3 linked regions of the Cricetulus griseus genome follow. The protein of the gene in region 2 purifies or fractionates together with the protein of the main gene of each other region. This does not show direct contact. Links are inferred from orthologs where the notes say so. Each region holds a gene or a part of one and is shown on either strand. Other genes may lie near its edges.

Region 1 (10,533 bases), about 110 Mb from region 2:
CCTCTGGCAGGAACCAATGGTGAGACCACCACTCAAGGTGAGAATGGTTTGCCTCCTTCCCTTCCCCACGAGCTCAGCAGAGCTCTAGCATGAGGAGAATCTCAAACCTGCCCCTCTTTACTCTGTCCCTCTTCAGGACTGGATGGGCTGTCTGAACGATGTGCCCAGTACAAGAAGGATGGAGCTGACTTTGCCAAGTGGCGTTGTGTGCTAAAGATTGGGGAACATACTCCCTCAGCCCTTGCCATCATGGAAAATGCCAATGTTCTGGCCCGTTATGCCAGCATCTGCCAGCAGGTGGGACTGAACTACATGGGCTAGCTTTCTGTCCATCTGCCAGGATATCTACCTCCTCCAGAGCAACTGTTAATAGATACCTACCAAGCATCAGGCTTGCTGGTGGAGGCCACTCTGCAAAGCAGTGATGGGAATTGGCATGAAGGGGGAATTGTTTGTCCCCTGTAATCTGCTGAGGCCTTTGAAGCCTTGATTCACTATCCTCAAGATAAGATCTTGGCTAATGATGGTGGAGAGCTGTAGGTGGGGTTCCCAGTCAGGAGTCCTCACACTACCCTTTACCTCCCCACAGAATGGCATTGTACCCATTGTGGAGCCCGAAATCCTCCCTGATGGGGACCATGACTTAAAGCGCTGTCAGTATGTAACTGAGAAGGTAGGTTGCCTGTCTTTCTAGCCAGGGTAATGTGGTGGGCAGGGTTCCACTCAGGTGGTCCTTGTCCTTCATCTCACCTTGCCCTGTTCCAGGTACTGGCTGCTGTCTACAAGGCTCTGAGTGACCACCATGTCTATCTGGAAGGCACACTGTTGAAGCCCAACATGGTCACCCCAGGCCATGCCTGTACCCAGAAATTTTCCAATGAGGAGATTGCCATGGCAACTGTCACAGCACTTCGTCGCACAGTGCCCCCTGCTGTTACTGGTGAGGCCCACTCCCTTGGCTTGCTGGAGTGGATACACCATCACTTTGGCCTCTCCGGGTAGCTTTTGGCGGCTACTCCCTGCATCTATCTCTTAACGAAGGCCACCTCTTTCCTTCTGCCCTTGTTCTCTAGGGGTCACTTTCCTGTCTGGAGGGCAGAGTGAGGAAGAGGCATCCATCAACCTCAATGCTATCAACAAGTGCCCACTGCTGAAGCCATGGGCCTTGACTTTCTCTTATGGCCGAGCCCTGCAGGCCTCTGCTCTGAAGGCCTGGGGTGGGAAGAAGGAGAATCTGAAGGCTGCCCAGGAGGAGTACATCAAGCGAGCCCTGGTAAAGCATCATGAAAGGGGGGGTGTGAGCAAGTGGAGGGGACTTGGCTCTCACCTGATTTCTCTCTTCCCTTTTAGGCCAACAGCCTCGCTTGTCAAGGAAAGTATACCCCAAGTGGTCAGTCTGGAGCTGCAGCCAGTGAATCTCTCTTCATCTCTAATCATGCCTACTAACCAGAGGTGATCTAAGGCTGGCTGCCCCATCAACACTCCAGGCCCCTGCCTACCCACTTGTGTTCAAGAGGGGGCCTTCAGGCTCTTTCCCATCACTCTTGCCCTCGTGACTGGTGTGTGGTGTTGTCTCTGAATGCTAATTCTGCCATCCCATCCAGCCCACTGCCAATAAACAGCTATTTAAGGGGGGAGTCTGTTGTCCATGTCTTATAGGGGATACGGGAGGCCTGAGGAGAGAGCCTTATTTTGGGTTCTTCCTTTCTGGGTAGTTAAAAGGATGCAATAAGGCTTTGTTGATCTGTATACTTTTGAGGAAGGCTGAGTATTGTGAAATGCTCTAACCACATCTAATTGAAAGGGAGTGATCTGCTGGAGTTATAGGCATAGGGCACTGAGCCTATTTGGCTGGGAGCCAAGCCTGGGTTTTGTGAATGCTAGGCAAGGACTCTGCCACTGAGCGACACCCCTCTCTCTCATTCCTAATTTAGGCTTTGTTATCTTGCCCAAGATGAAACTTTCTTGGTGGGAACAAAGCATTTAATAAACGTAGCTATTTTCCCATTGCAACAGGAAATGGAATTACCAATGGCTTTTTAGGAGCCTTTGAAGACTCAATCTTCTCCCACGCAGATATAGGTACACACAGAACTCAGGTACACAACTGCAGAATTCAGGTTTCGGGTTAAGGACAGAGCAGAACAAGGCCCCCCCCCCCCCACCAAACTATGGACTACCCAATGTTGAGTGTTGCCTGAATGTTTGCGTACAATGTGTGCCTGATGTCCTTGGATCCCAGAAAAGGGTATCAGATCCCTTGGAACTGGAGTTATGGTTGAGAGCCACCATGTCGGTGCTAGGAATTGAACATGGGCCTCCTGGAAGAGCAAAAGGTACTCAAAAGTGTTCAGCCCCATCATACCTCTAGTAATTTAAAGTTGTTGAAGATTATAGGTATAAACGGGGACTTGTTTTAGTCTTAACCATTTAGTTTTCTGTGGTTTCTGTAACCTTCCTGGTCTGAATCTTTTCTGTTCTATTTCCCTTTCAAAATATTTTTCCTTTTCACACTTTTCTATGCACAGAATAGTCTTTGGAGTATCAAAAGTCTGCTGTCCACATCTTTCTATGTATGGCCTATAGCCCAGTGGTTGAACACTTGCCTGTCATCCATCTGGTTCTAATTTAATTCTGGGAAACAATCTTTCTGTTTGGGATCTCTCTCCTATCCCTCCCCCCCCAGGGTTTCTCTATGTAGCTCTGGCTGTCTATAGACCAGGGTGGCCTCAAACTCAAGAGATCCACTTGCCTCTGCCAGGATAAGGTGTGGGCCACCATCCCTTGGCTTCTAGAAAACACATAAATAAAAACATGTTCAAAATTGAGGGATGGTAAAAGACATTCCAAAGGGGAGTATGATGTTCAAAAGTGTAAATTAGGAAGATTAAAAATCAGGCTACTCCATCAAAAGATTAAGGAATCAGAAGACTTTCAATGTGAATTTGGAGAGTGTTAGGTCTTTTTTGTATTGCTCTGAGTTTCAGAAAGTAAATGAAAGATGAGAACCACTTTTCCTGGGTTCACATTTGATCCTTGGTTCAAACACCAAATTTTTAGCTTTTCAATTTAGCAATTTAACCTGAGCCACCAACACCCTGAAGGAGTATGATCAGACAATAGGAAGTAATGTTGGGTGTGATTGTGTAACACCTGTAATCATAGCACTTGGGAGGCCCAGATGAGATTTGCTGTGTGTTAAGGTCAACTGCAAATTTTGGGCCATCCTGAGTTACAATGCGACCCTGTCAAGAAATAGATAATAGACTATTCTGGAATTAGGGAATCTTAGAAACAAGCTTGATGTGGGGAGAGTAGGTACTTTTTTTTTTTTTTTTCCAATTAGACCCCCTGTGGGTCTTGGAGATCCAATTTAAGTCAGTTAGGCTTGGTGACAGGCAGTCCTTGGTGTCAAATATGCTATTTTGGTGGGTTTTGGTTTTGTTTTTCCGAGCGGTTACTATGTAGCTATGAGACCCTCAAATCCTCGGTCCAGCCTCAGCCCCCTGAATGCTGGGATTACAAATAAATGTGCCACATACCTGGCCCAGGTTCTGAGTTCCCATGGCAAAGGCCCATGGCAAGATACTTGGCTAGGGTTGGCCCATTCATTTTGGACTATACATGTCTGCAATGCTTAGCCTTATTCTAAACACTGGGAAAGCAACGATGAACTGAGCAGTTCACTTCTCAGATCTGTAGTAGGAGCAGGACAGAAAGTCAGCAAGAGAAAGTGCAATGTGAGATGACAAGCTTACCAGAGCTCACGTCATTTGGCGTACATAACTGACGCAGAGATGCTTGCCTACCAGACCCGGTCGCCCGCCCACTTCCGACTCTTTAGTTCCTCCCGTGCGCCGCGAGAGGGGCGTGATCGGTATATGTCACTTCCGGCGCGCGACCGATCTGGCCTCCCTTTGCTTCCGCGGCGAGGCCGGAAGTAGAAGCGACGGTGGCGGAGGCCCAAAGCGGAGGGAAGTGGGGAGTCGGAGAGACCCAGCCGGAGTCCTAGCGGCGGTAATTGTCCGAGGCCCCTCTAGGCCACCGTCCTTAGCGCGGGCCCGCGGGGTTCGACGGGAGTTGGCGGGGTGCGGCCAGGGCATCGGGACGCCGAGGGTCCTGGACCGCCGTGAGGGGAGGGGGGGGCGGTCCTAGAATCGAGTCCCCCCTCCCGCACGGACCCTCTGATTGGCGGGCTCGCCTTCGCCTTTCCCAGGAGACCCCTGTGCGGTCCGGAGGGGGCGGCGGCCCCGACTCTGACCCGCGCCGGGGGGTGGGCCATGGCGGAAATCAGCGACCTGGACCGGCAGATCGAGCAACTGCGGCGCTGCGAGCTCATCAAAGAGAGCGAAGTCAAGGCCCTCTGCGCGAAGGCCAGGTGAGCCCGCAGGTCCGCAGGAGAGAGGCCGGCCCGTCGCCCACGGGTTTCCGGCTGGGCACACTCAGCTGAGAACTTAGGGCTTGTCCCATCCCGGAAGCATTCCCGGAGAGGAGCGGTCCCGAGGGCCACTTCTCCCCAGGAACCACGGGTCGGCTGTAGATACGTTTCTAGTGGAGTCAGAGTGAGTGGCAAAAAGTTCTTAGGAAAGTTAGGAAACCCGGCCTGCTCTACTGGGGCGAAAGAGAAAGTTTCTTGGAGAGCTTGAGTTCTGGGACCGACCTTGAAGAATAAGCAGGTTCAAGAAAACAAACAAACAAGAAACCTCGTGGTTTGTAAAAGTCTATCAGTCCTTAAAGATTAGGTGGTTTTGTGCTCACTTTAACAAGCAAGGGCTATAATGGTTCAGAATTGCCAGCAAGGAGGAATGGGATCTGAAGCTGGTTCTCTGAGTGCTGATCCTTTAAGTTGTGATTCAAGAAGTAGTTGGGTCACTCTCATGTTCCGTTGGGATCCTAAGGAAAACACAGTAAACTAGAGTAGAACATAATGAGTTCCTTCCACACCAGCTTGGTTTACTGAGTGAGGATGTTCAGTAAAATGGTTGTGAATATTCATTCAGTGAATCTCGGCTTGAAGCATGGTGTTTGGGTAAGTCATGAAGTGGTAATATTTATGGTGGGAAGGGCACACTAATGGTGTATTTGTGGATTGACGCTCTTGGGCTTCTAAAAGAGGGTAGTCCTTGAAAGATAAACTCTAGCTGAGGAAACACAGGGACAAGGAACCTTCAAGCAGGGTAGAAGTAAAAGGGAAATATGTAGGCAACAGTTAAGGCTTGTTACCTGCCTTTTCTGGGAACTGTCTCAGTGTGGCTTCTACCCTGTTTAATAGAACAGTATCATAGTTCTTACCCTTCCCCTCCAATCCTTCGAGGCAGGAGGGAGAGGTGTGCGAGTGTGCGATCGAGGGTATCTGTGTGTCTGTGTTTCCTCCCATGTAGCCCTAGCTGGCCTTGAACTAGGCTGGTCTTGAACTCAAAGCAATCAGTGTGCGCTGGGAATCTCGGAATATGCCTGCCCCAGTGCTGGCTGCCCCATGGCACCAGCCCTAACAAACCTTCCGTGCTGCGTTGGCCTGTGTGTGAGCTGCAGTGTTTATGCTACACTTGCCAAGCTTGGGTTTAGAAATGGAGGACTGCTGAGATTGGACATCAGGAACTACCAAAGGGATTTTGAGAAGTAGTCACACTACAAGAACTAGAGCCAATTCCATAAGCTGTGTGTTCATGGTGTGCTGTACAGTCCTTTAATTCCAGCACACAGGAGGAAGAGACAGGCAGATCTCTTGAGCTTGAGACTAGCTCGGCCTAAACATCAAGTTCCATTCTAGCCAGGGATACAGAATGAGATCCCGTCTCCAAAAATAAATAAGATTTATTGTTTACAAGGAAGGAGCAGCACAACCCTTTGAAAAAGTGTATCCGATTGGTAGGGAGTGAGGTCAGAACTCAGCCTAGGGACAGTCAGTGCTCTAAGAGAAAAGGACAACCCTCCCAGAGTGTGTGCTGTACTTTTGAGAAGGAACCACAGGGTGAATCAAGGCTGGATATGCCCCAGCCTGCTTGGAAGGGCTTGAATAGGAGTTGGGGTGGAAGTGAGAAATTGGACTTTGTCCAGTTGGCAGCAGGAAGCCATGAGCAGGTATTGAGTGGTAGAGGGCCATGGTCAGTGCTTTCTGACCAGATTCATGGGGAAGTGCATACTTCCTTCTGTCCCCTGGAGGTTCAAGGACTACCTCATGTCCTCCCTCCCTCCAAAAAAGGTCAGGAATTGGGCTGGGCTGGCCTGGCTGTGGTGACCCTGGTCTTCTCCTGTCTCCAGAGAGATCTTGGTAGAAGAGAGCAACGTGCAGAGGGTGGACTCGCCAGTCACAGTGAGTACTCTGTCTCTTGGACCCTGACTTGGTCTTTTAAGACACATGGAAATCCTAAGTGGTGTAACAGCCCCCCACCTCTAAGTTAATGAGAGGCTAGAACACCCCAGGTATCTTGCTTCTCAATCATCTGGTGAGCCCTGATGCAAGAATTAGATAGTGGCACAGATCTTGTAATTTAGTGATGGAATGTTTCCCCAGTATATATGAGGTCTTGAGTTGTGTTCTATGTGCCACAAGAAAATAAAAGATGCTGTAGGAATTTTGGTTTGTCCTGGTGACGCTCGCAGCCAAGGCAGAAGAAGTTTGTGGATCAATAGCCCTGTTAGTAACTGTGCTGAGCACATAGAGGCAAATGGATGAAGCCAGTCTTCCTGAAGCTGCAAGTCTGCCTGCAAAGACTCTTCTGCACCATAGCAGTTGGCTTTTGGTGTGATAGATGACACCAGAACAGGCTCACTTGGGTTAGAGAGGGAATTTGGGTCCTGAGATGGGGTGGTGTCACCCTGGCTGGCCTGGAAAGTAACATGTGTTTTGAAGGATGGTGTCTGGGAATAGAGGGACTGTGCCTTTGTCCACTCTTTCAACCCACATTCTTTCTTTCCAGGTATGTGGTGACATTCATGGACAATTCTATGACCTCAAGGAGCTTTTCAGAGTGAGTGGGGGGATACTGGGACTTTGAACCTAGGGTGACAGAAAGCCATGATCATTGATAGGTCTTAGGCTGCATGGTCTGTGGGTGAGAGAAGGGGCTCAGCTAGACTCTGGTTGCTGTAGCCAGAGAGGATAGTTTGGGGCCAAGCAGAGTCGTATCCCTCCTCCCAGGTAGGTGGCGATGTCCCTGAGACCAACTACCTCTTCATGGGAGACTTTGTGGACCGTGGTTTCTACAGTGTTGAAACCTTCCTCCTCCTGCTGGCTCTTAAGGTGAGGACTCTTGGCCCCTGGAGCCTGAGCTTTGGCCACTACTTGCTGCCCTCATCACCTTTCCTGTCACCTACCTTGGAACTTTGCTGTGGCTGTGGACTGTGTGCTTAGCGGGGCTAGTCAGGACTGCTGCCATGAGTGGGGCCATCTCCTGAGCCCTTACAGAAGAGGCTGGTGATGTGAGTTTTGGAAAGCAGGCAGAGGCTGTGTGTTCAGGGAGCAGCAGGAGTTAAGTGAACTGGGAGAAGTCATAGTGAAGGGCCACATGGGGTGAGTGTGGGGTGCTAAGGACAAGAGCCAGAGTCTGGCAGTAGCTTCTGGAAAAGGCTCTCAGGAGCTTGTGAGGCAGGGACACCATGATTTATGTAAGAGACTGCGGGAGTCTGGGCCAGGCAGAGGACTGAGTGAGGCTAATGGATGTCTTGGAGACTTGGGATGGTTAAGTGGGAGGTAGAGACTAGAACCAGTTCTTGCTTGGTGCTACCCCTAGGTTCGATATCCTGACCGCATCACTTTGATCCGGGGCAATCATGAGAGCCGCCAGATCACCCAGGTCTATGGCTTCTATGATGAATGCTTGCGCAAATATGGTTCAGTGACTGTATGGCGCTACTGCACTGAGATCTTTGACTACCTCAGCCTGTCTGCCATCATTGATGGCAAGGTAGGTTGGCCCTGGATCTCCTGGGGGGAGGGGGAGGCTGTGCTGGGTCTCTGGGCTTTTAGTTCCTTCTCTCTGGTATCATTCTCCCTTCTAGATCTTCTGTGTGCATGGGGGCCTCTCCCCTTCCATCCAGACCCTGGACCAGATCCGGACAATTGACCGAAAGCAAGAGGTACCCCATGATGGACCCATGTGTGACCTCTTGTGGTCTGACCCTGAAGGTGAGGGCAATACCTGAGCTGGCTCTCCGTGTGTCTTGTGAAGACTGGATTAAGCAAGTGTATGAAGGGAAGTCAGGCAGGGAAGAGGAGGGCAAGTTTGGCCTGTACTGGCTTCTGCCTTCTCCTTGTGTGACTGGATCCTCCTCAAGGAGCAGAAAGCATGAATGGTGGTGCACTGAGGCCTACTGTGGGTTGGCTCATGAGTTTCATGGCTTAGAGGGTCTGTTCAGGATGAAACCCTTGGCTCCCTGGGGGGAAGAGGTCATAGACCTTGACAGTAGCTTCTTTGGAGGTGAGACCCATTCCCTTAGAACGAAGACCTCTGACGGTTCCTAATTTTGTGTGGTTCCCCTCTAGTTAGGGGCGGAACTGAGGTTTAAAGCCTGGCTTTCTGAGTACCAGTCCTAAGCATACTCTCTAATTCCACCACTGTTACTGCAGTCTGCGTCATGTGGCATAAGGTGACCTTACTGCCAGGAAAGTGGTTGGTCATGGCTGGTGCTCTGGGTGTGAGCACTTCCTATCACTTGAGTGCTGCTTGAACAGCACATTGTATGTTATGGCCACTGTGATGAGGAGGTAGGTCCCAGCCATGAAGCCATCTTTCTCCTCGGAGTGCCTCTGCTCCAGTATTTACTATCCTATCTTCCAGGGTTCCCTAGAACAAGCCTCTGGTTGATGAGGGGAAGAGGCACAGGCTTCTAATTCTGTGGTATAGTAGTCAACCAGAGGACCCCACACATTGTCCTTGTCTTGTCTCAGACACAACAGGCTGGGGAGTGAGCCCCCGTGGGGCAGGCTACTTGTTTGGCAGTGATGTGGTGGCCCAGTTCAATGCAGCCAATGACATTGACATGATCTGTCGCGCCCATCAATTGGTGATGGAAGGTTACAAGTGGCACTTCAATGAGACCGTGCTTACTGTGTGGTCAGCACCTAATTACTGCTACCGGTAAGCTGGCAGGACCAGGAGCCGGGGTAGGGGTAGGAGTAGGGATCTAGGCCAACTGTTGCTAACTGTGCTGTTCCTAAATCCAGCTGTGGGAATGTGGCAGCCATCTTGGAACTAGATGAGCATCTCCAGAAAGATTTCATCATCTTCGAGGCTGCACCACAGGAAACACGTGGCATCCCCTCCAAGAAGCCGGTGGCTGACTATTTCCTGTGACTCCTAGGCCCCAGCCCCTCTGGCCCTTGGACCACTGTGACTGCCCTCTGCCCAGTCGGAGGCCGGGTGTGGAGGGGCTGCCTGGCTTTGCTTGCCCTAGGGTGCGGACTGCTCTGGAGAGGTTGGGGCCTCCACTCCAGGCTTCCTCTCCTTTCTCCCATTTGATCCTTGAAGTTTCCAGTCATTTTTTTTCCTTTTTTTTCTTTTGTTTTGTTTTTAGATAAACATTTTGAGAAAAAAAAGAAAAAAAATTCTAATAAAAGAAGAAAAATAGTCTTGAGGGTGTTCTGTTACGTTTGACTAGGCCCTGAGGTAGACAAGGAGCCCTGTCCTGCTTGTCCACTAGCCCGGAGCCTTTAGGCTCCATCTGGTGATCTTTCCCAAAGGCTTGCTTAGTACTGGGTAAAAGTGAGGTTCCAGGACAGCCTTTATTCTTAAAACAACCATTGTGAAGAGATTTACCCATCCCCCTGAAGGGGGACATGCGCAGAGCAGGCTGCTTCACAGCCACAAGGGCAAGCATCTGGAAACGGGTCTGCCCTCAAAGCTGTGGCTCCCCAGCCCCACCCAGGGCCAACACCATTAGCCCAACGTTTCCTGAGCACTAATGTCTTTTGAGTTTTATTAACAAAAATACTCTGATCCTGAGAACAAGCTGGTGTGGCTTACACCAGTGATGAGGCCCCTGGGAGGTGGGGGCACGGGGCTGAGGCCCCCATTTGGCCAGGCAAAGTCTTCCCTCCATTCACACTGAGGTGAGAGCTGAGAAGGGGAAGCTGGCCCCAGCTGGATTCTGAGCAGCTTTGCCTGAGCTTTGAAGCCAGAGGGGGTGGAGTGAAATCAAGGTGTGAACTAAGGGGTAGAGGAGAGGCCCAAGGCAGCCATTTGGTGGGGGGGGGAGGGGGCACCACTTGAATGAGGGTGCTACCAGGCTGGGGGAAGGGAGCTGGAGATATTAAAGGGAAGATGGCATAGGCCCCGTCTTGGCTTACTATATCATGGCTCAGTACATTGGCTTGGATCCCATGTCCAGATAACCTCCAGGTCCTGGGTATGGTAGAGGGAAGGGGCCCCCTTGAATGAAGTGTGGGGCAAAGGGTGTTACAGATGGAGCTGTGTGATAGGCAGAGCCCCCTGGTCCAGGCTGTAGCTCCAGGAATGCAGCTGAGTAGGGGGCTGGGCGCCCAGGGTCTGGAGCCTCAGGGAAGCTGGGGTTCCTGAAGTCAGGAGAGAGGTA
Region 2 (10,818 bases):
TCCTTCCTCAAGCCCAGTCCTGCTGGGGCCCCCTCAGAACCCTTGGTTCTAACACCTCCTTTCACCCACACCTGTAGGGATAGGCACCACCTCCTGTCCAGCCCCTTAGAGATGTCGCCTTTACCCTCTGGTCATCCTCCCACTGCTGCCGCTCCTCTTCCGTGTCAAATGAAATCCCTTCTTCACCATCCTCTCGTCTTCCTAAAGGAAAGCAAATGTCGAGGTCGGCCCATGCAACTCCAGCTAACCCTGGGGACCAGAAGAACTGCAAGACTGCACAGCTTCTTGCGTACGGCCTCCACTCAGCAGCCCCCACCTCACCCCCCATCTCCCCAACCCCCTCTGAACCAACCAGTTCTGCTCTTGCCTCCAGGCCCTACCTCTGCCCCTGGACAGCCGTGGGGTTGACCCCAGGTGTCTTCTGTCATCAGCCCACTCGTTGTACTTGTAGGAGGGGGTCGGCAGAGGGGTGTCATCTGAGTACTTGCTCCTCACAGTCCTTGGAAACATCAAGGTCAGCTGTCACTAAGCTGAACTGTGTCCTCCCCGCCGCCAGCAACTCTCCCTGCCCACATCCCACCTATCCATCACCTGTCTCGATCTCGAGTGGATGGCCGATGGCTCCGCTCAGAGTCCCGATAGGAAGGTGTTGGGGAGGGTGATTCCCACTGAGAGCGCTTTGAAGAGCCATAGCCACTGTCCTCCTCCTCCCAGGTGGACCTTGAAGGGGTGGCTGCATCTGGGGCCAGAGACATCCACAGTAAACATCCAATGTCAATGAGGCATGACTTCACACAGTGTATCTCTATGTAGGTGACACTGGCCTCAAACTTACAATCCTCCTGCCTCAGCTTCCAAAGTGCTGGGATTATAGGCATAAGCCACCATAACTAGTTTCCTAACTTATTTCTTAATTACATTTATTTATTTAACTGTGTGTATCCATGTGGCACAGCACAAATGTAGAGGTCAGATGACAATTCTCGGGAGTTGGCTTCCTTCCATATGGGTCCTGGTAACAAACTCAGATCATAAAGTTTAGCAACAAATGCCTTCACCAGAGGAGATATCCTGACTGCTGCAACTTATTTCCCTGTTTCATAACCTTGTACTTATTTACTATAGATAAGATAGTGATGAGAATTTTGTTTGTTTGTTTTGTTTTTCAAGACAGAGTTTCTCTGTGGTTTTGGAGCCTGTCCTGGAACTCGATCTGTAGACCAGGCTGGTCTCAAACTCACAGAGATCACCCTGCCTCTCCCTCCCGAGTGCTGGGATTAAAGGTGTGCGCCACCACTGCCTGGCAGTGATGAGAATTTTTCTTTTTGTGTGTGTGTGATGAGAATTTTTAAAAAGACTGAATTTAACAGTTCAGCTTTCACTGCTTGAATCAATTTCTCTCTGCAAACCTCTTCATCTTAAAACAAATAGTTCTTTTCCAATAAATCCTTCTTGATCCACCACATCTCTAGTTTCCTGACATCTGAAACACCTGTTTTGCAGCAAACAACCTATCCCCTTGGGAAGTACATCCACCCAAGCAAGGGACAGGACCACACCCACCGTGCTCAGGCCCCCTAACTCCAGAGGGTCACACTATAATCAGGACTTCCAACTCACTGCCTGACAACACAGCTGACTACTGCTCATTCTGCCACCACAGAGCTCAGAATACCTTTTGGCCGATGTCGAGGACTCTCTGGCTCATTTCTTCTGCTGCTGCGCTCTGAGCCTCCGTCTCGATCTGATCTGCTGCTGTGCCTACTTCTGTCCCGCTCATCTATAAGAGTCACACATGGGGCTTAAAGATATGTACTCCATGCTAAAACATATGCACACGCATGGACAGAAAGCACACACCTCCCCACTCACACAGGTACACCCCATCATCCATGGGCTAAAACTCACACACTCACATCCTCTCAATGGATAGAAAGGGTCAAACTCACACAACAGCTGCTTTCCAACAAGAATCATAAGTGAACAGTTACATGTCTATCATGAAGAATTTAGTGGTGTAGCCAACCTCAGCTACAGACATAATGATCAAGGCTGGTACTGGACTGTCTCATTTTGTTCCACAACACTGTCCTTTCTCCATCACCCATGCTACTCTAAACTGTTTTCTTAAATAGATTACCCATCATTTCCTTTATCCTCAGTTTTCACAATAAAACAAGAACCACATACTCAAGCAAAGCAGTTGTACTACAAGCAATTAATGAGCATTATTGTAAAAGTTCTTGCAACAGGGAAAGAATGGCTTGCTGGTTCAAATGATGAAGGGCAACAGAACTGGTGACAGGCAGTTTACCTCTGTCTCTCTTGCGGTCATAGTCTCGATCCCGGGATTTCTCTTTCTTCCGATCCTTTTCTTCTTTGGATGAGGCATAGACACCATGCTCCCTCCGATCCCGCTCTCTCTGCCGACTGCGTTCCCAAAACTCCTCACTCACTCCCCCAGGGTGGGATGGAGTCTCTACCCGAGCAGATCGGTAATGCCTGAAACAGGGAGACCAGCTGGGACAGGGCCTTCCATGGAAGAAAACATTTCCCTCTATCTCTGGGTATGCCAACAAGCAATATTCCTCTCCAATGCATCTCCCCAGTGCTGAAGGCCTGCACATGGCAAGAACCCAGGCATTTAAACTCCATCATCCACTTCTTAGATGCCTTTGAATTTTTCCCACAAATCTCTACCAATTCCTATCCGCCACCAGTATTATAGAAAAACAATAAAATCCTAAAGCTCTTAGGTGTCCAGCAGGAACTGAGATAAACCTGGGCTACTATTTTCTGACACCAATGTTTACCCTCTTTCCTTACCTGTCTTTGCGGCCACTCCGGCCGGCCTGCTCATCACCCTCCTCCTCGGCATCTTTCTGGTCATCCTTACTCTCCTCCCAGTCTTTGTAAGAAGAGATTCTGGACTTTTTCCTGTCCTCTCCATCATCTTTCTCTTCTCGCTCCCTCCGTTTCAGAGAAGCCAGTAAGTCCAGTCCAAGCAATGAAGGGCGAGGAGCAGGGGCTTTGAAGACATGCTGCTCACTGGTTGCACTTTTGGTCTTGCAAATAAGACCACCAACCTGAGAGTTCAGATCGGTGCCTTCCAGTCGATGGATGGAGGCATCCTCACCAGTGTCCTCCATCACAGGCTCTTATTTCTCTGGAAGGAACAGGAATCATTAGAATTGAACATAAGAAAACTCAGTTCTACCGCACCCCAGAATAACTAGTAAATTTAAGTGGCTACCCCATCCCTACACTGAGCCCAAAGCATCTTCTGCTATCAGAGGGTGTGTGTGTGTGTGTGTGTGTGTGTGTGTGTGTGTGTGTTCATGCAGGTACACAGGCACTGTGTGCACATGAGGCCAGAGGTCAATGTCAAGTGTTTTCTCAGTTGCTCCCTTACTTTTTGAGACAGGGTCTCTCACTGGACTGGGAGTAAATCCAGCCAAGCTAGGGTGTCAGCAAGCTCCTGGGATCTGCCTGTGTCTGCCTCTTCAGCACACAAGTGCCTCTACTCATAGCTTTCCTTGTACTCGGATCCTCATGCTTGTGAGAAGGCACTTCACCAACTGAGCCATCTCTCTAGCCCCCTTTGCTACTTCCGAAGACTTTCCCACCAAATCAGTGACGATCTCAAAAAGTTTCCCAGTTCCCACCTCAACATATATGAAAGACACAGAGACACATATACACAGAGCAAGTGGTAGGATCAAGAGGGTATCATCCAGACAAGAATAAACTTCAGTAAGGACTTCTTACTGGAATACAAAAAGGGACTAGAAGGGGAACTAGATGTAAGTCAGAAACCTCAATTAAAATCCAGTTTCTGGTCCTACGCACGGTGACACCCACTTGTAATCTTAGCAGGTGAGAAGCTGAGGAGGCTCCAGAGGATGGCAAATTTGAAGCTAGCCTGAGATACATAGTGAGTTTCATAACTGCTAGACTATTTAGTGACATATTCATTCATTCATGCCCATGGCCCTCACTCATAGATTTTCCCTACCCATTATTTAATTTATTCTCCTGTAATTTCACCCTTCTACTTTCTCTACTTAAGAATCACAATAATCACCTTTAAGATCCCCATTGGCTTACTGCCTCCAAACATCAACCAAACACGCTGGCCTTTTTCATGTCAGCTGCAGCAGCACACCCTCTTCTTTAGTAACAGACATTAAAAAATAAAAATAAAAAAGATACCCAGGCTCTTGGCATTTTCTGCTTCTGTGAGAGTAAGCAGCAGGCTTGGTTAGCTATTACTTCTCTATACACTGCACAGAACCACTGTGAGAATCTAACAACTGTACATGAACCATAGATGTTTTGTCAGTGTAATTATTACACATTTGCTATTATGCCCCTGTATACTGACTAGTTTCCTTACTAATATTTCTAATATTTTATATACATTCTTCTACTCACCTATCCCCTCCCCCTTGAAGCCACAGGTTCCACAAAGTGTAAGTGTAAGGACATAATTTTACCATCCATATTCTACACACTTGGTGACTTTTGTTGTGATCAGTAGTGTTTTGTGCAAAAAGGGGGGAAAAAAAGCTGCCCATAGCTGGCAAAAATCTCTTGAATAAGAAACTGTATTTACCAAACTTGCATATGAGAAATGCTAAGTTAAGGAAGTGGTATTTCAGGAAAGTGTTTAAGAGACTGCAAGATCTCCTGGTTGATAACACACTCGTCTTTAACTGATACCATCTACTTAGAAGCATGAACTTATGTTGGACACACAGACAATTATTCTCATTCCAGTAAGTCGTTAAAGCATAAGAACTGTACCTCTGGAATCTACACTTCTTTTGCCATATTCTAATCGGCATGCACAGCTCTACCAAGGAGTACTGCAAACATGATGTAGATGAACAAACAAGAGCTTCATTTGGAAATTCCATCAGGTGGAGCAGAAAAAGAAAGTTACATGTAAATATACATGAGGAAATCCAGACGGGGAGACTGAGGTACACAGACTCTCAGCAGTTACCTGAATGATGACTTATGTCCTAAAATGTCATTTGCATACAAGCGAGAGGCTGTCTTGTTGACTGCTATAACCCAGCAATGGCAAAATGAAAGTCTAATTTTAAAGCAAATGAATAAATATATCCTATTAAAAGAGAACAAGAACTCAAACATTTCTCTGGACAACAAGAAGTTTATCCACAACACAGGTCAAGGAAGGATTTAATTGTCCGCTCAAAATAGCAAACAAGGAATTCCAGGGCCAGATTATGGAGAAAGATCAGTGACACAGAAGCCACAAAGGACTTCTTGGGCAGCAACTGCATGTGTCCTTGAGTCAATTGTTCTCAACAATACCGATTTTAAAAACAAAAACCAAAAACTCCCTGCCCTTTGCGGTTAATATTCTACCTATAGATTAACCACCAGACTTAATGGAGACACTTCGGTGAGAAAGGAGGAAGGCAGCAGGAGCCCTATCCAGACTCTCTAGGTAACAGGTTAGGGCACCGTCCTAAATAAACCAGGGCGCAGGGCGGATGCCTCGATCTCAGGGGGCCGTTCCCAAACACAAGGATGTGACCATAACGGGGACAAAGTCCGGAGCAGGCTGAATAGACACAAGACCGCTCAAGTGAGTAGAGAAAGTTGGGTAACAAGGACAAGAGGAACTCTGAAACCAGGGCCCAAAACCTAAGCCGCGAACCGACCCCGGCCGCCTGGAGCCACCATGGCGGCCGAAGGACGGATCTGGAAAGAGGAAGAGATACTCACTTCACCAAGCACGACTCTCGGGACCTTCTGCCACTGATCTGGGGACGCCAGCGCGAACACTGCTCGGTCTGAGGGTCTCAAAGAGGTAAATTCCACTGTTTGAAAGCGGCCATCATTGTCCCATAATGCCCTGCGCGGGGTCCTCTATCCGTCCAAAAATACCATCGAGAGTAGCCCAGAAATACAAGGTTCCTGGACGCCAGAGAGAAACAACGTGAACACGCCTTCAAAGCCACGGTGTCTTCCTCTGGGCCCCAGGTTTCCTTGCGACCAATCGTGCTTAGAGTGATAGCTGATACCCCGCCTCTGGCCTGTGGGCGTGAGAGGCAAGACAGACCGAGGTCAGCCATATTTACTAAGGGCGGAAATGACATAACTTCCTGTTGGGGCAGTGCCAAATGGGCGAGAACTATAATAACGCCGTCTGCTTATTGGGCTATTGACTGGGACGCGCGATGGTACGTTCATTTTCTGCGTCCGTGTTTCATTTTCACTTCCGTTTGTTCGGGTTTGCAGGCCAAAGAAGGGTTTCTAAGCAACAGCCCAGGTTAGTTGGGGTTAAGGTCCTTTCCCGGGTTGGGACCGATGAAGGAGACAGTTGTGCCTTGGCTATCGGTGAAGGAATCCGGACTGCTGACAGGTGGTTTGTGTCCTCCCTGGCACCTGTGGACCAGGAGTAACCCAACCGCCCGCATCTTGTAAAACACAGGTGCGGAACGTTTTGGAAAGTAGACATATCCGCCCTGAGTAAATAAGTTATCTACCTGGCTTGGTGGCACGCTCCTGTAATCCCAGCAATTGTGAGGCAGAGACAGGAAGATTGCCACAAACTCAAAGCCAGCCTGAGCTACTAAACGAGACCCTTAGTGGAAATAATAATCACTTGTCCATGTTCAAGTATGTCCTTTGATGATATCTTGGAATATTTATTTAATTGTGATTTCCACACACTTTCGTTGTTGTTGTTTTTCAAGAAAGAGTTTTTCTATGTAGCCCAGGCTGTCCTGGAGCCTACTGTATAGACCAGGCTGGTCTCAAACTCACAGAGATCTGCCTGCCTCTGCCTTCCAAGTATTGGGATCAAAGGTGTGTGCCACAGCGCCTGGCTCCACACACTCATAACTGATCTGTTTGCCATGTGATAAAGTGCACCTAGGAAGACGCCTTAAGCCAGGTCACGAGAATATACAAACGTCCATCAATGAAGGACCACTAAAGTGTGGTCCACATATGAAATGGTATGCTACCGTGATAAAAATCTGGACGTTTTCTGTGTAGGGCTATGGGAATCTCATTAAATGTTAGATTTAAAACAATGCAAAGTGCAGAGAGATGGGTGAGCTATGTACTGAGCCTCTGCTATTCCCAACTGCTCGTCCTCCTAGAATGCTGAGATCAGCAAGTTTGTCTGCCTCAGCACTTCCCATAAATTCTGGTTCCATTTGGAGTCAGGCAGTGATATTGAGGGTGGGGATAGCAGTATCCTTTAGTGGCAGGCCAACCTGTCTTTGTGCAGCTACCTTCCTACTCAGTTGTGCACAGCTCCACAGACTATTGAGTGGGATCAGCGCTTTGAAGTTACAGGCTTTGCCTTGTCTTCCTGTTCTGTTCTAACTAAATATCCAGTCCCCACATTTGAGGATGTCATCTCTTACTTGCTGGACTTATAATACATTCTATCTCTTGTGTAAAAGGGGGGTGGAAATACAGAAGCATGTGTGTGTTCTTCTGGTATGGTACATAATTTTTCATGTATTTCTAAGAGAAATTACTGAAAGCAGTTACCTGGTGGATGATTCAGGATGGCACATGAAGTTCTGGAAGCTGGGCCCAAGAATGGCAAGCCACGGGTGGGGCCTGTTCACAGATACTTTTCCTGAAAGGTTTGTTTTTAAATTGCCTGTTACATGGCTGATGCTAAATGGTGTTGTTTTGTTCTTTACATTAGGACTCATGAACTTCATCTAAACAGCCTGTAAACATTGTAGAACTGGTCGTGCACACTAACACTGAAATTTTCTTCAAGATGAGTTTCCTCTTGCCGAAACTGACGAGCAAAAAAGAAGTGGACCAGGCGATCAAAAGTACTGCAGAGAAAGTATTGGTTCTCAGGTTTGGGAGGGATGAGGACCCTGTCTGTCTACAGCTGGATGATATAGTGAGTGAATTTTTTGTTTGTTTGTTTGTTTTTGTTATGTTTTGTTTTTCAAGACAGGGTTTCTCTATGTAGCTTTGGCTGTCCTGGAACTCGTTCTGTAGACCAGGCTGGCCTGTCTCTGCCTCTCGAGTGCTGGGATTAAAGGCGTGTGCCACCATTGCCTGTCCACAAGTGAATTAGGCCATAAGTGAATTTTTTTAAGATTTATTTATTGCTGGGCGTTGGTGGCGCACACCTTTAATCCTAGCCACTCGGGATGCAGAGGCAGGCAGATCTCTGTGAGTTTGAGGCTAGCTTGGTCTCCAGAGCGAGTGCCAGGATAGGCTCCAAAGCCACACAGAAAAACCCTGTCTCGAAAAACAAAGCAAAAAAAAAAAAAAAAAAAAAAAAAAGATTTATTTATTTATTTATTATGTATACAGTGTTCTGCCTGCATGTATGCCTGCAGACTAGAAGAGGGCACCAGGTCTCATTACAGATGGTTGTGAGCCATCATGTGGTTGCTGGGAATTGAACTCAGGACCTCTGGGAAAGCATCCAGCACTCTTAACCACTGAGCCATCTCTCCAGCAGGTAAGTGAATTTTTGAATGAGCAGCTTTAATTGAAAATTCAGGCAGTGGAAGAGCAAGAAATGCCAGCCCTAGGTGTCTGAACATTGCGCTTTCATCAGTCACAACAACAGTCACCCTCCAGGGTGCAGAAGATGCAAAGCGGGCTCTGAACTGTTTCCCTGGTGGCCAAGTCTCTACTTGTTTGCTGCTCCTTGAATGTGCCTGGTGGAGAGATCAAGTTTCACAGTATGTCTTCACACTCAAATTAGTAACAAGGGAAATTAGGAGACAGAGTTACTGTATTTTTTTTTCTTGTTCTTATTTACCGTGGAGATTGAACCAAGGACTGGCACCTTTTCCCACCCATCAACTGGGGACCAAATGTCAGAATAGCATTGTGTCATTAAAGTGAATGTACAGAGCTGGTGAGGTGACTCAGCAGGGAAAGTGCTTGCTGCACAAGACTGCCAACCTGAGTTCAGTCTCCACAACCCACAGTGAAGAAGAAAACTGTATCCTGAAAGTTGTCCTCTGACCTCCATGTATACCCATACTCACACATGCATCATGCATACATACACACACACACACACACACACACACACCAGTCAATAAGTAAGAATGATATCATAACCTGGAAGAAGATGATCAGAAATAGCTATGAGAGAGAGTATAGATTCTAGGCTGGAAGTGTAGCTCAGTGGTAGAACAGCTGCCACTTATGTATAAGGCCCTGAATTCAACTCCCAATGCCAACAAAACAATTAGATATATAGATATATACAGATTAATTGATTCTGAAACTAAGCCTCCAAAGTTCAAATCCCACCCCTGCTGCTTAGGAGCTATGTGTCCTGGAACTAACTCTTTTGCCTCAGCTTTGTCATCTGTAAAATGGGCACAGCTCATACACTAACTGTTAAGTGGGTTAGCAGGTATAAAGCACTGAAGATAGTTAGCTGTGGGAGGTGGCATCAGGCACTTCTCTAACTTTTATTCCTAAGAGGACAGAGCCTGAGGAGAGTCAGCTCTATGTGAATGTTCCTGAGTTGTTGCAGGTGGGTGTGTCAGGATCTGTAGTTTTGTTTTGAAGTTCCGAGCATTGAAACTAGACCTCATGCTCAGCTCACCCTACGTGAGTATTGATTCCTTTCTGGAAAGTAATCAAGCATGAGCCCATGTGGATGACGGCTCAGCAAGTAAGGGCTCTTCCCTGGTGTGTCTTAGTTACTTCTCTATTGCTGTGATAAAACACCATAACCAAGACAAGTCATATAAGAAAGAGTTTATTTGGGGCTCATAGTTTTAGAGGGTTGGATCCATGACCATCATGGCAGGGAGCTTGGCAGCAGGCAGGCAGATATGGGCTGGAAAAGTAGCTGAGGGCTCACATCTTGACACAAGCAAAAGACAAGAAAGCTAACTGGGAACGGTATGGGCTTTTGAAAACTCAAAGCCTGTCCACAGTGACAAACCTCCTCCAACAAGGCCACATCACCTAATCCTTCTCAAACACTTGCTACCAACTGGGGATACAAGTATCCAAATATATGAGCCCATCAGGGCCATTCTCATTCAAACCACCACACTGCCTTCTCCTGACCCTGTCAACAAGGATCCACCCTCTGAACAGCAATAGTATGTTTATCTGGGCACAGCAGTGTATACTTTAATGCCAGTACTTCGGAGGCAGAGGCAGATGGACCTCTGTGAACTCAGGGCCAGCCTAGTCTACATAGCAAGATCCAGGATGGTGTCTTATGAGGAATTCAAATGGGCTTGATTCTTGCTTCAAGTATTTCTTGAACAAAATTTTTCTTCCCCCAAAATATGTTATAGTAAGTGTCACATACAATATTCTAGTACATTTCACAAAAGAGGCATTATGCACCTGGAATAGTATAGTGTAACCTCCATCCATCTTGTCATTCACAGCTCTCAAAGACCTCTGCTGACTTAAGTAAAATGGCTGCTATCTACCTGGTAGATGTGGACCACACTCCAGTTTATACGCAGTACTTTGACATCAGTTATATTCCATCTACTGTATTTTTCTTCAATGGACAGCACATGAAAGTGGATTATGGGTAAGCTAACTCTCCAGTCTGGGAAGTTGGTTTTATCTGGGCAGGTTCAGAAGCTCACTTACTTTTCTATTGGCTCCCTGAGTCTGGCCAAGTGAGTGAGTGTTGTCTCTTTATGGGAAACTTTAGTGCAAAGTGAGAGTGTTTTAGGTGTGATTGGAAAATTGTGATTTCTTGCTTAAATATGAAAAAGCAGTATAGCTTTGAAGTACTGACTAACCATCCTTAGTTATAGAAAATATAGAAGAGCCATATTAGCTGAG
Region 3 (10,675 bases), on a different chromosome or scaffold from region 2:
GTTATAGTCCTTAAGGTCCAGCAAGTTCCAAGCCTGACATTCTATTCTGAGTTAGATCCCTGGGACCTACATAATGGAAGAACTGACTCCTGTGGGTTATCCAATCTCTTCCTGAGCCTGTGTGAGCACTCACAGAAACACAAAAAATAAAATGTAAAGGAACCAATTTTTTTTTTTTGATCTAGGAAAACAGGCAAAACCTACATAAGGATAAGGGTATAAAAGAGCTAAGACTGTCTAGCTCTGGAGTTCATGGTTTCAACCACTGTGTTTTAGAGTGTCTCTTCAGTGCCATTTCCCCCACTTTTCATCAGTTTTTATATAGTAGAGATTTGATAATAGAATTCAAGAAAATCTTTTGAGCCCAGTCTGGCAATAACAGGTTACTTGGAGACTAAGGCAGAAAGATGGCAAATTCAAGCCTACACAAGCAAGTGGGAGAAACTCATTTCAAAATAGAAAGTAAAAGAATGGCCGAGAGATATCTCTGCAGTTAAGAACATGCACTGCCCCCCCACCCCCACCCCAGGACTAGAGCCGATTACCAGTATACAGCTACCTGTACTTCCAGCTCCAGGGGATTTGATTCCTCTGGCACTAGAATTCACTTGTACAGATCCACACACATATACATAATTAAAACTTGGGCTGGGGGAAGGTAAGCAAAAAAGGCTGTTATTGTATAGCTAAAGAATACAGTGCTTGTCTATGCTGTGCAAGACCCCAAGTTCAATTCCCAGTACCTCAAAAAGCTAGTACTGAAAACAGAAAAAGAAGAAACACCCCACCCCCAATTTCTTTTTAAGTCTGTGTTTGAAAATACCGAAAAACTATCGAAGAATCGAAGCATTAAAATTTATGAATAGGAAAAAGATGCTATGGGCACTCACTGAAAATTTATGTGAAGGGCCTAACCCCAATATCTAGTATACATAAGTGCTTAATAACTTGGATTTTTAATTGACGACCATTTGCAAAAGGAAGTGGGGCTTTGACAACGGTGACCCAGCTCTACATGACAAACACAAGGTTCATGATACTGCTTAGTCAACATTCCATGCAAACTGTTATCACTTCTAAACTTCTAGTACACATTCTTAGCTGGATAACTTTATATGAATCTCATAGCCCGTCATAAGAGGGGCTGAGTTAGCATCAGAGTTCTTGGGCTAGGGATGTTGTAGCTTAGTAGAAGAGAACCTGCCTAAGATGCACAGGGCAGTACTGGAGGTTGGGGTAAGCTGAAAACTTCTGAGTTCTTGTACAGCTCTATCGTCTGCATCAGCCAATTAATTAGATTCAGGTGGATGTGCATGCTGGGTTTGGTTCTGGTGATAGTTACAAAACAAATACTCAAAGATTTTTAACAGATAGCTCCATCCCTTCATTTCACTCTGTCCCAACACAACACAGCTTTTCCAGAATACTGTCTTCACTAGCATCACAGCTTCAGTATTCACTAGCAGAAAGAACGTACCACCAAGAATGAGTTAATGGCCAGGTGGCATGGCTCATGCCTAAAACCTAGTACACAGAAACTGAGGAAAAAGAACCCAGATTTGAGGCCAGCCTGGACTATACAGCAAAGACTCTGGTTTGAAACACTCAGAAGGGTTAAAGAGTACTGGTTGCTCTTCCAGAGGACCCAGGTTGATTACCAGTACAAACACGGTTCTATCAATCATTTGTAACACCAGTGCAAGAGGATACAATGCCCCCCTCTGGCCTCTAAGGACACTGTTTGCATGTGGCAGCACTGAAAAGCATGAAGGCAAAACATCCATATGCATAAAAATGTAAACTATTAACATTAAAAAGTATATCCTGAAGGCTAGAGAAAAGGCTCAGGCTAAAAGTGCCTGTTGTCTTAAATCTTTTTTTTTTTTTTCTTAATTTATATGTAGGAGTCTTTTACCTATACCTGGTGCCCAGAGGCCAGAGAGTGCACTGGATCCCCTGAAACTGGAGTTACAAATGGTTGCTACCCGCCATGTGGGTGCTAGAAAATCTTACCCAGGTCTCCTGAAAGAGCAGCCAGTGCTCTTAACCACTAAGCCATCTCTCCAGTCCATTGTTTGCTTTTCTTCCACCAGATCAGCAGTTCCCAACCTGTGGGTTATGAATCTTTGGGGAACACATGCAGATATTCTGCTTATCAGATATTTACATTACAATTCATAACAGTAGCAAAATTACAGCTATGAAGCAGCAACAAAATAACTTTATGGACATGGTCACCGCAACATGAACTATATTAAAGGGTCGCAGCATTCAGAAGGTTGAGAACCACTGCTCTACATGATCCAAGTTTGGTTCCTAGCACCTACATCAGGTGGCTCACAACTACCAGTAAAAACAAACAAAAAACCCCTTTCTTTATTCATCACAATGAAAATTAAAAAAAAAGAACTCCCAATTACATGTAACAGAATGGAGAAGCACACAATAATGGGTGATCCAAACTGGTAGCAGACACCATAACTTTAAGCAACCAGGCAGGGCTACAGAGTAGGTAGGACCCTACCTCAATCAATCAGTGAAATGAAACTATCTTAGGGCCGAGTGCAAGGCTCAATTGGTGTTTGTCTAGCATTCATGAAAGCCCAGGGTTCAATCTCCAGCACTACATAAAGCATGAAGATGCAACATAACTCTAACCTCAACATGAGGAAATAGAGGCAGGATCAGGAATGGAAGATTATCCTCACTACGTAGCTAATTCGAGTAAAACTCAAATTTTGCTTTCTTTGAAATAATCCTTGAGGCCAAGAATACAATAGCACACAAATAGACCACAGCATAAGAGATTACATTCATCGTAATTAGCCATAAGAGCTTTAAGCTGCAGGCTAGATTTCTCACTAAAATACAGACCACCATCCTAGACTGAACCAACCTATAATTATTATCTCAGACTCTAAATTATCTATAAAACATGGCTAATTTGAGAATGGTTTTAAGAATTATGTTTGTAAATACAAGTGAATTGCTTGAAGAGGCCCTGGCACATAGGAAGCACTCAATAAACTTCTATTACTAATCTTATTTGGAATTTACCTGTAAGGGGGAAAAAAAACTTTAGTATTAGAACTATAAATTTCTTCATAAGTATCCCACAATTTTTCTAAGTCCATTTTTTCCTTTTTTGTTTAGGGAACGTTTTACTATGTAGCCCTGAATTCTGAGATCTCCCCCTGCTTTGCTTCCAGAGCGGTGGAATTAAGAATAAGGTACCACACCCGGATTAAATACATTCTTTGAAATTAGCTTTCCTTGTAACACAAATTTACAAGGTTTGGATTAGTAATTTTGTTTAGCTCTTTTCCTACTTGGGTAAAAATAAAACATTTTACCAGTTGTAATAAATTAGAACTTCAAATCTCCAAATGGAGAAAAAAAGACTTACAGGCTACTTCCTAAGTGATAAAAATATGAAAGAGCATAAAAACATCAGATTTTTACAAAACCTTGTGTTTTTGTTTGTTTGTTTTTTGAGACAGGGTTTCTCTGTGGCTTTGGAGGCTGTCCTAGAACTAGCTCTTATAGACCAAGATGGTCTCGAATTCACAGAGATCTGCCTGCCTCTGCCTCCCAAGTACTGGGATTAAAGGCGTGTGCCACCACCTCCCGGCACAAAACCTAGTTAAGAGATTTTCCAAGATAGCACTGAATTAAGTCTTCATGATCATCCTTTCAAAAGGTCTTTGTAAACTGGTTGACTGTGGTAGCTCACTGCCAGCAATCACAACATGAGGATCTGAGGCAGGAGACACAGAGAACAGCTACAGGGAATGACTCTAAAACAAAACAAAGAAGTTGGATTGAGGTGGTATACCGATAAATCCCAGAATTTGGAGAGATAGACAGGAGGACCTGGAATTCCAGATTTTTGGTACTACAGGAGACTGTTTCCCAAAAAAACAACAAAAAGGTCTTCGTATAATCAAATAAGGCACACTGGTGTGAAGAAATTCAAGGAATCAGCTTAAGCCTACATATAATTAAATTGAAAATTCTAACTGGGTGTTTGCTGGAGTTAGTTCAGTGGTAGAGCACTTGCCTAGCATGCTTGAGACCCTGAATGCTATTCCCAGTAATCTCACCCTCAAAACAAGCAGCTAATTTAACCTTAAAAGCTTTATTTCTAGTGTGGTGGTGGCACACGCCTTTAATCCCAGCACTCAGGAGGCAGAGGCAGGCAGATCTCGGAGTTCAAGACTAGCCTGGTCTACAAGAGCGAGTTCAGGACAGGCTCCAAAGCTACACAGGGAAACCCTGTCTCGAAAAACCAAACCAAACCAAACCAAACCAAACCAAACCAAACACCACCACCACCACCACACCTTTATTTCCAATTTACTTTTCATTTTCAACATACACAAAAAGGTAGAGGTGGAGGTCTTTACACATTCAACTTGTACTTTTTTTTGTTTTTCGACACAGGGTTTCTCTGTGTAGCTTTGGAGCCTATCCTGGCACTCGCTCTGGAGACCAGGCTGGCCTCGAACTCACAGAGATCCGCCTGCCTCTGCCTCCCTTGTGCTGGGATTAAAGGCGTGCACCACCAATACCCGGCTCAACTTGCATTTTTTAATGCTAAGTAAGAACTCTGAAAAATATACCTACTGAGCCGGGCGTTGGTGGTGCACGCCTTTAATCCCAGCACACGGGAGGCAGAGGCAGGAGGATCTCTGTGAGTTCGAGGCCAGCCTGGTCTCCAGAGCGAGTGCCAGGATAGGCTCCAAAGCTACACAGAGAAACCCTGTCTCGAAAAACAAACAAACAAACAAAAAAAAAAAAGAGAAAGAAAAAAAAGAAAGAAAATTATACCTACTATAATCAAACTTTTTTCCCCCCTAGACCAAGTCTCACTATGTAACCCTGGCTGACCTAGAACTTTATGTAGACCCAGTCTGACCCTCCAATTCCCCCAGAACTGCCTCAGGTTGGAGACTATTAAAAATATCTGCAGAAGTAACTTTTCAACCACTGGGGTATCTTTATAAAGATAACCTGTGGGTACTATACTCCAAATTACCATTTTCCATTTCAAATCAATGCTTCTACAATCTTCAATTACAACCAGGAGAATCTTGTTTTTCATGGAATGAGTTCTGGGTATAGTTGAAAGAATAAAAACCTTTGAAGTAAGTTTGTAATAATTCAGATATGAAACAACTACAAACACACTAAACTGACCCTCAGATTAATGCAACAAGGTAACTAGATTTATACCCTAAAGTAACAATTTGAAAAGTTTTGCTCAACATGTATATTTTCTTTCATTAAGTGAAATTCACAGAATGTAACCAAGGAAAACGGCCAACCCTGAAGAAACTATTAATTTAAGGTGAGAAACCGAATCGGGTGGTTGTGGCACACACACACACACACACACACACACACCTTTAGAGTCCCAGCACTTGGCAGGCAGATCTCTGAATTTGAGGCCAGCCTGGTCTACAGAGGGAGTTCCAGGACAGTCAGGGTTACACAGAGAACCCTGTCATAAACAAAACAACGACAAAAATACGTGAACCCATTATTTTGAACAACTTGGTCTTCGGGCCCGGAAGGCTGTTTCAATAGACCTGAAGGGAAAGCAGAAACGCAGATTCAAGGTTTAAAAATACTTCTCCCCACCTGTTAGTTGACCCCAATGAGGACCATACACTTAAGCAATCAAAGTCTTGCAATAAAATGTTCCAAAGGTTCAGAGGTTCCCACAGTAGAATTACAAACAAAGTCTGCCCCTTCTTGGCTAGGCATGGTGGCGAACTTTAATCCCAGCATTGGGGAGGCAGAGGCAGGCGGATCTCTGAGTTCGAGGCCAACCTGGTCTACAGATGGAGTTCCAGGACAGCCAGAGCCACACAGAGAACAAAAAACAAAACCCTGTCTCAAAAACACAAAACAACAACAATCTTTCTTTCTTATGAGAAAAACAACCAACACCGGACAAGTCAAATGTATCCTCGCAAGGCAAAGCAAAGCAGCATTTCCTCTGCCTGGTGGAGTTGCCAGATATATAGACCAGCATTGCCGACCCTTAAGATCCCAAAGATGTAGTGGAAAATGCTCAAAAATTAAAAACAAAACAAAACACCAGGCCAGAACATTCCCCAAAGTGTGCAACAGCTATGAACTTTGATGAGCTCCAGGCAAGGCCTCACGTCTGTTTCACAGACGGGGGTGAACTAAGGGCAGATGGTATGTAAAGTGCCTTTCCCCCCCAGCCCCCCCTCAGGGTCACGCAAGTGCAAAAACCACGCCGGGCTCCGGATCCCAGGTCCCCGACCTTTCCGCACTCTAAAGGCGGCACGGCGCAACGTGCTCCGTGCGCTCCGCTCGGCCCCGACCCTCCCCACCGCGGGGATTCCGGGGCTCCGGCAACAACACCCCAACAACTCTCCACCCCATCCAGGGGGCTTGGGTACCCGTCCAGACTACCGTACTCCCAACTGCTCCCCGGGAGCCAGTGGGCTCCGTCCACTCACCGTCGCTCTCCGCCCTGACGAGCAGGGACATGCCCTTCAGCCGCTCCACGTAGCCGGAGGACACATGGCCGGTGCCTCGGTCGTCCCACTGCCGGTCCTCGTTGAGCGTGTAGACCTTCACCCGCCGCCGGGTGTCGGTCATCGTGCCGGCCGGGGGCCCCGCCCGAGTGGCCCGGGGACTGTGTCCAAGAAAAGCGGGCGGGCGGCCGCAAACGGGAAGCTCCGGGACCTCAGTGCCGCCGCTGGCCGCCGCGGAGCCGCGCCGCCGCTCGCATGGCCCGCTCCCGGGGCCGAGCCCGGGGCCGCCTTCGCTCGCCTCCCGCTCCTCGGCGCTATTGTCCAGGCCGGGTGAGCGCGGCCGCCCGGCAGCCCCGACAGGGAAGCGCAGCGCTGCGCAGCCTAGCGGCCCGCCGTCCGAACAAGGGGCAGCTCGGTTCACAGGCCTGCTCCCGCCTCCGCCATGACCTCCGCAGAGCCGCTTCCCGCGCCGCCGCCGCCGCCGCCTCCTCAGGCCGCCGCCGCCGCCATGTTTTCCTCCCTCGTACCTGGCCCTGCCGCCGCCGCCGGAGCCTCCGCTCCGCTCCTCCCGCTTAAAGCATCCGCAGCCGACGAGCTAGCGCTGCCCGGGAGACTCCGCAAGTCCCTGGCGAGCCGAGAGCCCCTCGCTCTTCTTCCAAGCGGCCTTCCCTACCCCACCGCCTCTTCCGTCTTCCTCACAGAGCCAAAGCCGCCGCCATCTTGACTCGCCCCTCAAAAGGCGGCGCGCGGGGCCAACTAGGCAGAAGCGGCAGGGGCGGCCCGCAGGCCCCACCACTTAAAGAGACAGGACCCGAGCCAGCGGCCTCGCGCCGGCGGAGGCCTCGCACCGAGGCGGACCCGGAGCTGCGGGGGTGGCGGAGCGGAGGAGGCGGGACGCGAGCCGCGCCGGTGTCGGACCGGGACTCCCTCGCGCTGCCCTGCACGTACTGTCGTGCGAGCGCGGGCTGCGTGTGCGTCCGTCGCATTCTGAGTTCGTCATCAGCCCTGTTCTGGGCTGGGAAGGGGTGTGGAGTCGCCTGGCGGCCTGCGAGCCGGCCTGGGTTCTGGACGCTGATCCCGTAGCTCGCCCACGTCCTTGTGTGCTCCCCCCCTCTCCCACCCCCGCCGCTTTCGGGGAGGGCTTTTGCACGGGTCTGGCCTCCTCCTTTGGCCTGGAATCGAGAAGCTTCTGGGGGAAAAAAACTAAACAAAACAAACACTCGTTTGGGCTGCGGGGTGGGCGGGATGTGGTGGGCCCCGCACTGGGCGCGGGGTTCGTTTCGTGGGAGAGGGTCATTCTGAGCACTCACCTCACAATACAACGGGTACCGGTTATCAGAGTTGATGTCCTTTATTTAGCTCTTTGCGTGTGTGTGTGTGTGTGTGTGTGTGTGTGTGTGTGTGTGTGTGTGTGTGTGTGTGTGCTAGACAAAACAAAGCAAGCCACATCTTCAAGTGCTTGCAAAGATAAACGAAGTACTGTATGGTCAAGATAAATTTCTTTTTGTTTTTGAAACAGGGTTCTCACTGAGTTGCTCCGACTGGCCAAAGCAACGTATGTGAGAAGCTGGGACCTTCCTCACCCACAACTTCAGAGACAAGCGGAAGCCGTGTCTGAAAGCGTTTGCAAACAAAAATTGGGAAGCATGTAAAAATAAAAACAAAAACAAAACAACAACAACAACAAAAAAAAAAACAAAGCGTTTGCTGTTTCTAAGGACTGGAATGCAGTCGTTCCAAGCATCTAGATGAAGCCCATGGACTACCAGACTGACCAGATTAACAATCAGTGTGGCGCAACGCTGTGCTGCTTATCTTTTTTTTTTTTTTTTTTTTTTTATTTTTGGAGACAGGGTTTCTCTGTGTAGCTATGGAGCCTATCCTGGAACTCGCTCTGTAGACCAGGCTGGCCTCGAACTCACAGAGATCCGCCTGCCTCTGCCTCCGGAGTGCTGGGATTAAAGGCATGTGCGTGTGCCACCAACGCCTGGCTATGTGTGCTGCTTATCTTAAAGCAGGAGTTCTCAGCCTTCCTAAGGCTGCGACCCTTTAATACAGTTCCTCATGCTGTGGTGACCCCTAACCATAAAATTATTTTGCTGCCGATTCCTAACTAATTTTGCTACTGCTATGAATCGTAATGTAAGTATCTGCTGTGCATGGTCACAGGTTGAGAACCTCTGTTTTAAAGGGACTTGGAGATAAACCAGGAGAGGCTGCACACCAAATAAATAGTTCCTTATCTGCCTTAATTCTTTACTCATCAAAGAGGAGACTGTTGCTTTCAGTTCTCTCTGAAACTGGGTTGCTGGGGAAAGAAAACTGGAAGAAAGCACACCTAGGTAGAGTCACAGTATTTCTCTCCTGGAATACTATGAGAAAGGACATTATTTATAGTCAAATGTGTGACTTCTGGAGCCACTCCCCTCTAAAACAATTTTATTCTAAATTGCTATACTCTGGGTCTCCCACTCCTCCCACCCACAAAGTGCATTTTTGGGACTTTGAATCAGGCCATACCAGGATTTGTGCTTCTCAGAATTTCACAATAGCCAGCACCCAGCAGAGTATTTTAATGTAGACTTAGTAAGAGAAGATTTAGGAAGTGAGGAGCTCAGAGGGACATTTGACAGTAGAGTCACAGTTTTTTTGTTTGTTTGTTTGTTCTTATCTCTCCCCCCCCATAGTCAAATACAGGATTTGGGTGGGTTTTGAAATTACTATCTTAAAAAGGTTACTGAGGAAGCCAGGTGGTGGTGGTGCATGCCTTTAATCCAGAGGTAGGCGGATCTCTTTGAGTTCGAGGCCAGCCTGGTCTACAAAGCTACATAGAGAAAACCTGTGTTGGAAAGAAAACCAAAGGAAAAAGAAAGAAAGAAAAAAAGAAAAGGTTACTTCGGAATCTAAATGAGGTCCTGAGGGGCAACTGACAAGATTATAATTAATAAGCTAAAACTCTAGATCACAAGAACATGGGTATATTTACTATAGATAAGGTTGACCCTCTAATAAAATTCCCAGAAAATATCTGGGGAAAGGAATGAGACCCTACCTTAGTTTGTGTACATCCAGACTTTAAGCTTTGCTGTTTTGAAAGAAATCTCTCTCTCTCACACACACACACACACACACACACACACACACACACACACACACGAACTATATGTTGGGGGGCAGTCTTCACAGCAAATATTGTTACAGTGAAATTCTTCTAAACTTCAGTCACTCTGGAGAGGGCCTCTGTGGACATCAGACTATGTCGGACTCTAAGTTACTCCATATTGTAGCTGTGTTTAGGCTGTGTCTTGCCCAAGGAGACCCCATTCCACAAGCAGCTCTTGATTCCATTTTGAGGGAGAAGGATGACTGCAGCCCCTCAGTGAACCCATAAATCTTACAATCTGACAGGTACCATCCACCCAGCACAGACCACAATACATTACATTCCTGGGAGTAGAAAGGGAGCTACCCTATGAATTGAGACTGTAGGAGGACATGGGTCTATTAAAATATTGGGGTGTTTCTGTTACTTTTCAATGGCTGTGACAAATACTATGACATAGGCACAATGCTGAAGCAGTAGCTGAGAGCTTGTATTTTGGGACAACTACCATGAGGCAGAGAGAGCTATCTGGGAATGGCCTGGGCTTTTGAAACCTCAGCCAGCCAGTGACACACCTCCTCCAACAAGGCCACACCTCCTAGTCCTTCCCAAACATTTCCACCAACTGGGCAATCAAACATTCAAATATATTAGCCCATGGCACCATTCTCATTCAAACCACCACAAAGGGGGCTGGAGAGATGGATCACCATTAAGAGTACTGGCTGCTTTTCCACAGGAACCAGGTTTGAGTCTCAGCAACCAAACAATGGCTACCAAACGTGTAACTCGGGTTCTAGAGATTCAATGTCTTCATCTGGCCTCCACAAGTACCGCATGGTATGTAAGTGTAGGTATAATGCCCATGCACATAAAAATAAATCTTAAAAGCAATCAGGGAAACAAAGCCCAAGAACATACAGAACATGCCAGACTAAGGAAAAGGAGTAATACCCGGACCCCACAAAGAATACCAAATACTGTGACGGCATGAGCCACACAAAGCTATCATCTGATACTTGGTTTGCCTGGCAAGGACCAATAGGCAGAGAACTCC

What was found. Proteins that work in one complex are often made in the same cells at the same time.
Region 1: the proteins of Dhx38 (region 2) and Ppp4c purify together in Homo sapiens (affinity purification with mass spectrometry; 5 studies listed by BioGRID and IntAct, with this or other methods). This does not show direct contact. The link is inferred for Cricetulus griseus from reciprocal best matches to the Homo sapiens genes DHX38 and PPP4C.
Region 3: the proteins of Dhx38 (region 2) and Ppp4r3a purify together in Homo sapiens (co-immunoprecipitation; 3 studies listed by BioGRID and IntAct, with this or other methods). This does not show direct contact. The link is inferred for Cricetulus griseus from reciprocal best matches to the Homo sapiens genes DHX38 and PPP4R3A.

What each region holds. Positions count from the first base shown.
Region 1 is NC_048596.1:73,945,915-73,956,447, forward strand, and holds Ppp4c (serine/threonine-protein phosphatase 4 catalytic subunit), read left to right. Parts: upstream 1-3,864; 5' UTR 3,865-4,017; intron 4,018-4,216; 5' UTR 4,217-4,280; coding exon 4,281-4,378; intron 4,379-6,261; coding exon 6,262-6,313; intron 6,314-6,920; coding exon 6,921-6,971; intron 6,972-7,141; coding exon 7,142-7,243; intron 7,244-7,733; coding exon 7,734-7,907; intron 7,908-8,001; coding exon 8,002-8,128; intron 8,129-8,890; coding exon 8,891-9,080; intron 9,081-9,166; coding exon 9,167-9,296; 3' UTR 9,297-9,538; downstream 9,539-10,533. Other genes in the region: Aldoa (fructose-bisphosphate aldolase A), read left to right, coding at 1-37, 137-297, 590-673, 766-940, 1,074-1,273, 1,351-1,446; T-box transcription factor TBX6, read right to left, coding at 10,300-10,513. UniProt on the Homo sapiens protein: Protein phosphatase that is involved in many processes such as microtubule organization at centrosomes, maturation of spliceosomal snRNPs, apoptosis, DNA repair, tumor necrosis factor (TNF)-alpha signaling, activation of c-Jun N-terminal kinase MAPK8, regulation of histone acetylation, DNA damage checkpoint signaling, NF-kappa-B activation and cell migration.
Region 2 is NC_048596.1:185,930,253-185,941,070, forward strand, and holds the start of Dhx38 (pre-mRNA-splicing factor ATP-dependent RNA helicase PRP16), read right to left. Parts: upstream 6,066-10,818; 5' UTR 5,761-6,065; intron 3,167-5,760; 5' UTR 3,150-3,166; coding exon 2,827-3,149; intron 2,503-2,826; coding exon 2,315-2,502; intron 1,781-2,314; coding exon 1,676-1,780; intron 740-1,675; coding exon 592-739; intron 500-591; coding exon 381-499; intron 202-380; coding exon 125-201; intron 1-124. Other genes in the region: Txnl4b (thioredoxin-like protein 4B), read left to right, coding at 7,787-7,918, 10,407-10,558. UniProt on the Homo sapiens protein: Probable ATP-binding RNA helicase. Involved in pre-mRNA splicing as component of the spliceosome.
Region 3 is NC_048598.1:104,672,877-104,683,551, reverse strand, and holds the start of Ppp4r3a (serine/threonine-protein phosphatase 4 regulatory subunit 3A), read right to left. Parts: upstream 6,670-10,675; 5' UTR 6,640-6,669; coding exon 6,498-6,639; intron 1-6,497. UniProt on the Homo sapiens protein: Regulatory subunit of serine/threonine-protein phosphatase 4. May regulate the activity of PPP4C at centrosomal microtubule organizing centers.